Linked DNA regions of Bombyx mori. The protein of the gene in region 1 binds, or shares a complex with, the protein of each later gene. Links are inferred from orthologs where the notes say so. Each region holds a gene or a part of one and is shown on either strand. Other genes may lie near its edges.

Region 1 (3,323 bases):
AACTGTAGTGGCGCTTATTTGCAAGAAAGTAAATGCATATTTATTTATGACAAAATTAATGCACTAAGTATTTTTTCTATAATCTATTGTCCGCTTTGGGCCTAAAATGGGCCATCCCCTTTGTGTTGGTATTGAAAAGCGTCCCGATTCCTCCCAATCTATTGTAATGTTTTTAAAGATAAGTGAGAAACGGTATTTGAATTGGACAAGAACAATAATAATTGGCTAACTATCCAGTTAAGTGTTCGACCAACGACTTGAAAACGTCCGATGACCACTGACGAAATATAGATACTAACATTTTTTATAAATATATTTATTTTGTTGTAATTCGGCATTTTATATATATCAGAGGAAGTGTGAAAGTAGCTGAAGTGATTGATAAATTAAAGAGCAGACATGCGATGCGTAGAGAGACGATGCATGTGACTAGGAGAGGTATGGAAATGGTAGTGCAAGGTAGAGGGGGAAGAGGTCGACCGAAAAACACATGGATATGAGACAGAGAGGAGTGAGTGTTGGGATTGCTGATAGAAGAGAATGGAATAGAAAACCTAGTGGGATAAGGTGGTAACAAAGAAACAGAGTGATTCGGCATTTTGACAAGTGACAATACGTCATGTGTCAAAGTGGGTCGCTACGTTGTGGCGTCTACGGGGTGACCGCCTAGCACCAGACGAGCCGTGAGCTCGTTTTCCATATACACAATAGACAAGACGGCAGCGCTCGCACGCCTCACTCCACTAGTAAGATAAAATAAAACAGTCGAAACTTCATCGGTATCTTTAATAATCTATTTTAACATAAATATATACAACAAGAACTAAATGCAGCGCCTATTCGTCTTCGTGGAGCGCGAACAGCTTGGCCACCTCGAACAGGTCCTCGAACTCCGCCTGCGCCAGCACCTGGGGGCGGGGGGTTGGGGGGCAGTGGGTTAGCTAGCAGCTGCAGACTCGCGAGCGGTCACAAGTTAAAGATAAGATACTACAATCAAACCCGCAAAAGTATAATTTGCGTAATTACTGGTGGTGGGACCTCTTGTGAGTCCGCGCGGGTAGGTACCACCGCCCTGCCTATTTCTGCCGTGAAGCAGTAATGCGTTTCGGTTTGAAGAGCGGGGCAGCCGCTATAGTGTTAAAATCTACCTTAGAACTCATGTCTCAAGGTAGTATTTACGTTGTAGATGTCTATGGGCTCCAGTAACCACTTAACGGTGGGCCGTGAGCTCGTCCACCCACTTAGGCATTCAAAAAACCATCGTCAGCAGTGTGTAGTGTTGGATCCCTTGGGACTCACCTGCCTGGCCACGTGCATCCGGTTGAAGAGGTTCCACAGCAGCACGCCCACCACGCGCCGGCCCTCCAGGTAGAACACCACGCCGCGCTCGTACCGCCGGCCCCCCGCCGCGCCCCCCTCCAGCCTCACCGCCGCCCCGGCCGCGCCCTCCCCCGGCCCCCCCGCGTCCCCCTCCCCGGCGGCGGCGGCGTGGGCCCGGAGCTCCGTGACGGCGTCCTCAGAGAACACTCCGACGGTCTTTAGTTTTGAGTCGATGGTGCCGATGGCCTGAATATTTAAACATAATTCATAAAACATCCATTCATAAAATGTAGTTACTTACAACGTGTGGTACGGTCACCCGCGCCCCGGTGCGGTCAGTGTGACCGGAGTGACAAATATCTGATTAGCGCTAACCAACTTTCAAGACAAGCTTACTTAAGTAATTTTATTTATTTACTAGCTGACCCGGTGCACTTCGTAGTGCCTCAATCGATAAATAAAAGAAAAAACAAAATTGTTATTTTTATTTTTATTCCGAGCATTTTCATTAATTTATCTACCTTTTAAACCTTCTCTGGACTTCCACGAATAATTCAAGACCAAAATTAACCAAATCGGTCCAGCCGTTCTCGAGTTTTAGCGAGACTAACGAACAGCAATTCATTTTTATATATATAGATATAAGATCTAAAATCACTTGGCACTAAGTGACTACGGGTACTCATAGATGTCACAAGATTGTACACTCGCCTCGTATCCGAGGTCGGGCCCGAGGTCGGTCCAGAACATGTGCGGGTGCGTGTAGGGCGCGGGCGCGGTGCCCAGCATGTCGGCCAGCATGTTGTCCCCGGCGCGGCGCCCTGACGTCACGGCGTGGTCGTGCAGCCCGCCCCGCCGCCGCCCCTCCCGCGGCGCCCAGTGGCACGCGGCAGATCCCGCCGCCCACACGCGCGGCCGGGCCTGCACACACCAGCCCAGTACAATAACACGACTGTCCTACACTATTCACACTGGAGCTCTATTACTTTAAAAAATAAATCAAATATTTCACACTAATTGAATATGCAATTTCGAAAAGGGCACATCTCTGAAGATGTAAAATGTTCATAAAAGAAAAAAACTGATTATTTTCTAAAGCAGTGTAAAATTTAAAATATTAGCTTTTGAGATATATTTTAGTGATAATTAGCAATTGATAATTATTGGAATTATTATAAAATGGATCTAGGTAGGTAAGCCTCAAAACTACATGTATATAAAAAAACATATTTGACAAAATATACGACATGTGCCCTTTTCAAAATTGCATATTCAATTAGATTGAAGCTAAGATTTTAGTCACAAACGGAGCCAGTGGCGGGCGGCTTGCAGTAAGGTCCAACAGATAATCGAGCTCAGACCACAGACAAGGTCACCACGCACGGGGTGCACTACTCATGGTAAGCAAGGGTCAGTAAATAAAAGCAGCAGTTAGTAGGAATTAGCTGTGCGGTGTCCGACTTCAAACATCACCTCACCACTTATTCCTGTGGAGGGCGTGAAAAGCGACTAAGTGACTCATCGGAGAACAATATTTCTTTTTATATCTATATGCTCTAGTAACCACTAAACACTAAATGAGTCGTAAGAATATTACCACAATAAGAAAAAAATTGTGATAGTTATTTACTGGTGGTAGGACCTCTTGTGAGTCCGCACGGGTAGGTACCACCGCCCTGCCTATTTCTGCCGTGAAGCAGTAATGCGTTTCGGTTTGAAGGGTAGGACAGCCGTTGTAACTATACTGAGACCTTAGAACTTATATCTCAAGGTGGGTGGCGCATTTACGTCGTAGATGTCTATGGGCTCCAATAACCGCTTAACACCAGGTGGGCTGTAAGCTCGTCCACCCATCTAAGCAATAAAAAAAAAAATGGCCTATATAGGTCTGGACGAGACATGTACATATGTGGGCCGAGCCATTATGTTGGGGCCTGCAGACAGCTCACTTGAGTCCCGGGCGCCGTGCTCCTGTTGATCCAGGAGCTGTTTTTAAAAAAGGA
Region 2 (4,415 bases), on another chromosome or scaffold:
AAGTTTATGTAATAGTTGCGAGAGCCACTGGATTCAGAACACTTCAGCAACAGGGCCTGAGTGCAAGTGATACTAGCGAGCTCGGGGTTCCAGTTGCTGGACTGAGCAACCCTCATTATTACAGTTCGTATGTTCTACAGTAAACAAAAGATGTCATCATTTGGAAAATACAGACATGCATTCTTTCAAAGGATGTATGGTAGTTGTCTTTTGAATTGTTGGAAAAGATAGTGAGCTGAAATATATTGATCAAAGAATTGAAATACGAACCTGTAATGAAAGCAGGAAAATGCCTCACGGAACTGTATCCCACAAGGACCAGTGGCCATACCCCCAAGACATGGACATCCCCAATTGATGGAACCATCTGCCAGAATGAGGCCAGGTGTCGGTTCAGGGTCCGGGAGTGATACTCTACTTGGTGTAGACAACTCTTCGCGTGATGCTACAATCACTATATCTTTGTTGCCTGACCCAGCAGGTAGAATTGATGGAGACGACATGTTGTATCTTAAAAAAAAAATCAATACACAGGTTATTATGATACTTATTACAGCATATTGCATCCACTTTAAATACATTTGTACTGCCTGATATACAATTTGCTACTTAATTGTGCCACAAAAGGAGCATTCTAGTTTAAAGGGTGGAACAGCCATTATACCCTAAAATTGAGATTTACACCTCATCCCTAAAGATGTGTTCAAACCAGGTTGACTGTGAGTTTATTTGCCTTTCTATGAAATGACACAGGCTTTATACAAATGTTCATGACTGGCTTCCAGGGTGAAGGAATAACATCGTGTAATAAAAATCAAACCTGCAACATTATAATTTGCGTAATTACTGGTGATAGGACCGCTTGTGAGTCTGCGCCGGTAGGTACCACCACCCTGCCTATTTCTGCCGTGAAGCAGTAATGCGTTTCGGCTTGAAGGGTAGGGCAGCCGTTGTAACTATACTTGAGACCTTAGAACTTATATCTCAAGATGGGTGGCGCATTTACGTTGTAGATGTCTATGGGCTCCAGTAACCACTTAACGCCAGGTGGGCTGTGAGCTCGTCCACCCATCTAAGCAATAAAAAAAACTGCCAGAGACTTTCTATTGTTTTTCTGATGTCATTTGATTATTGCTTGTTTAATTTCTTTTCCTATTTTCCAAGTTCCATAGTTTCTTTTCTTTGAAACTTTGAAAGCTTTGAAGTTTCGCTGTGCTTCTATTATTATTCAATGTTTATCTATACCCATTATTACCTCTCTGTTTGGCAGTTTTATGCTGTCAGTTTTTTTCTTGAAAAAACACTATCGTTGTTAAGCAGCCAGGTAACAAGGATGCACATTTGGCACAAGTGATAATTTGAGTGTAGTTCAAAGTTTATTCATTTCTTTGGGTGTTGAACAATACAAGGCACTCAATGAGCATGTAATATATAAAAATATTTTCATATCTTGAATATGAAGAATGAATTTAAGGGCATAAAGTATGCTTTTTAAATATCATCCTAAATTCTAGCAAATAAATAATTTGTTAAATCCCTACAATATGAAATCAAGATTGTGACTTATGTAAGATTATGTATTTAACTGTGACACTCACTGCCTATACAAGTGCCTGTAGTGAAGGAGACACCTTATGCACTCGTAACTGGGTAGTTACTGTAAGAGCAGCCCAGACTTTCCTGAACTCCGTGCTATTTACTCGCAATACAGCTGTCTTGTCTTGCACTGATAGCACATCCACAGGTATCGAGCCCCCCACTTCACCAAACAATGTCTTGCACGCTTCTTCTACCAAACGCCGTAGTGATAATTCACTCTGTGCACTGTTACACCTACAAGTAACTAAAATTATTTCTAGTTGACTAGTCTAAATAACTAACAGATATATTTTATTTTATAGTGTTGCTAACTTATACAATTTACCCCTCATATCAAAATTTGATATACAAAAATTCAAAAAACTACTATTGCAACAAATTAACATTTGTTCAATACAGTCTCGTGTTAAGCCACCTTGGTCAATGGCAAACCTATAAATACAGCAAATATCATTAAAATTGATGTAGTGTTGAGCAGTGCAGTAGATGTACTTTAATCGGCATTGTACTTAAAGTAATACTGGGGAGACAGAACAGAAAGATTAACATTAATTAAGACAGATTAACTCAAATTTTGGTATACTTATTAAGGACTGATGACAATTCAATATTAAAAAAATATTGAAAAAAATCAAATTTAACTAAAAAATGAACAATAAATAATAGTTTAAAAAAACTAACAAAATATGCTTTTATAGAAAATCCAACTAAAAAATAGAAAATAAATTTAAATAAATTTGAATTTGAAATAGTGTAAAAAAATTGTGGGGTGCATGGTATCAGTAGTTATAAATATTTTATGAACATATATGAGTAGAAGGGTTATTTTGATAATATCCTGAAAAGCAACCCACGCTTTTTTTTTTTACAATAATATCATTTTTTCTTACACTATTTTAAATTAAAATTTATTAAAATTTATTTTCTATTTTTTTGTTGGATTTTCTTTAAAAGCGTATTTTGTTAGGTTTTTTAAACTATAATTTTTTTATTCAAGATTCTGATTCTTTAGTTGTGTACTAACTGATGGATAAATCGTGATTGCCACTTACTCAACTTGGAGGTAAAAGAATTGAGGCAACATTCGCTTTACACTAAATTCAGAGACGCCCTGAATTTTTTTATTGAAATAAAACTGATCACAATGTTATGTATCCCTATTTCATTTCTAAAATGTTGATTTATATCTGAACGTTGAAGTGACAGTTGACATTATTTATTTTTATAGGTTATTAGCCTTTTTTTTAATAAGTTCGACAAAGAATTTACTCACATTGTCTATGATAAGGACTAAAAAGAACTGTTGTTGTGCTAACATTTTTGCTGGTGATAGGGCGTCTTGTGAATCCACACAGATAGGTACTTAGGTACCACTAGGTAGTATCTAGGTACATTACTGCCGTTACCGTTGTATTGGAGTGTTGTAGGTGAAATAAAATAGAACTGTTCAAGTCGACAATTCATGTAATTCTGTCACAATTTAGTGTGTGCAGTTACAAATATAAGGTTAGGCGAGTTGCACACTACACCGTACTAATAATACGTTTGGGCTTAAAGGATGGGGCAGCCGTTCTGTAAAACTGGGACTTAGAAATCAGATATCGAGGTTTTTTTTTATTACCCTTATAGGCAGACGAGCATACGGCCCACCTGATGGTAAGTGGTTACCGTCGCCCATGGACTTTAGCAATGCCAGGAGCAGAGCCAACTCGCTGTCTACCGTTAAATACTCTCCACAAGCCTTGTGTGAAGAAGGATGTGTCATAGCGCTCGGGAAACACCGTGGAGCGGACCTCATTCCAAAGCCGGATGGTACGTGGCAAAAAAGATCTCTGGAAGTGCACTGTGGATGAACGCAGTGGCTCCAGGTAGTATGGATGAACTCTACTCCGGTGGCGGGCGGTCCGATGGTAAAAACGAGATGATGGTATTATCTCAAACAATTCCTCAGATGTTAGAGGAACAGAGTTCGTGGGAGGCCATGGCCAGGTTTTCCTACCTGGTCATAGCGTTCCATGAGGCGGAGGAGCGCGAAAGGGTCCCTCTACGGCTCCTCAGCGTATAAGCGGGGAGGGAAACGCGGGCGCGAGGCCCCTGCTCGGCCCCGTAGGGGCTGTCGAGTGCCGGGTGCGGAGGTGTCCGGCGGTACTCAACGGTTAGTCCGGTGGTGAGGCAGTGCAAGGTGGCTCTTGTGCACTGCCCACGATGTGTCTCCTGAGATCCGACGTCCTTCAGGATTTTCCCGGGGTTGAAATCCCGTCCTATCATCAGGATAGGGGCTGTCGGATACCGGCGAAGGCGGACTTTCGCCGCGCACTATGCTTCTTCTAGCTGGTGTGGTGTAGCTCGATGGGATTTAGTCGGTAGTCATAGCTTTTTTCAAGGCTTAGTCTCCTGAGAGGAATTGGAGGAGGAGGAGGACTTCAGCTTTCCTCTTTTAACTCTTCTTATTTGGAGACGCCGGAGTGCGACATAACCCGGTCTGTTACCCCCTTCAACCGGGAATTCGCAAACGGATTACCCAGCGATAAAAATATGGCTTAGTAACCGAAGGAAATATTCGTATTTATAATTTTAGCTTTGTTGTTGTGATTAAAACCAAATGTGTTTGTAAAACAGAAGTAGCTGTCATTTTCGGATTGGATCATAAACCAGTGGATTGGATAGTTAATTTCCTCCATTTCATTGCCATATTAAAATTCGAAGACCTGTTTCCACCTGAAGCCCAGGAGCTTAGATTTCTTCTACATCTTTTACAAGATACGTGAAGAACCCACTTTTTGTTTTGACCGATATTTTAAAATAACAACAATACT

What was found.
Region 2: the proteins of apoptosis-inducing factor 1, mitochondrial (region 1) and mitochondrial intermembrane space import and assembly protein 40 are in contact, whole or in part, in a cryo-EM structure (PDB 9GQZ), measured with the Homo sapiens proteins. The link is inferred for Bombyx mori from reciprocal best matches to the Homo sapiens genes AIFM1 and CHCHD4. Residues at the interface, in NP_004199.1 of Homo sapiens: Pro345, Tyr347, Ser500, Ser501, Leu502, Pro503, Thr504, Val505, Gly506, Val507, Phe508, Ala509, Lys510, Glu558, Asp559, Tyr560, Asn602, Ala605, Lys606, Phe608, Asn609, Ile610, His611; in NP_001091972.1 of Homo sapiens: Arg5, Glu7, Lys9, Asp10, Arg11, Ile12, Ile13, Phe14, Val15, Thr16, Lys17, His20, Thr22, Pro23.

The regions. Positions count from the first base shown.
Region 1 is NC_085120.1:1,544,057-1,547,379, forward strand, and holds the end of apoptosis-inducing factor 1, mitochondrial, read right to left. Parts: intron 2,242-3,323; coding exon 2,032-2,241; intron 1,567-2,031; coding exon 1,300-1,566; intron 909-1,299; coding exon 837-908; 3' UTR 771-836; downstream 1-770. UniProt on the Homo sapiens protein: Functions both as NADH oxidoreductase and as regulator of apoptosis.
Region 2 is NC_085131.1:14,550,713-14,555,127, reverse strand, and holds the start of mitochondrial intermembrane space import and assembly protein 40, read right to left. Parts: upstream 3,070-4,415; 5' UTR 2,873-3,069; exon of another isoform or gene 2,624-2,872; intron 2,032-2,623; exon of another isoform or gene 1,984-2,031; intron 1,844-1,983; exon of another isoform or gene 1,834-1,843; 5' UTR 1,599-1,833; intron 511-1,598; 5' UTR 504-510; coding exon 271-503; intron 1-270.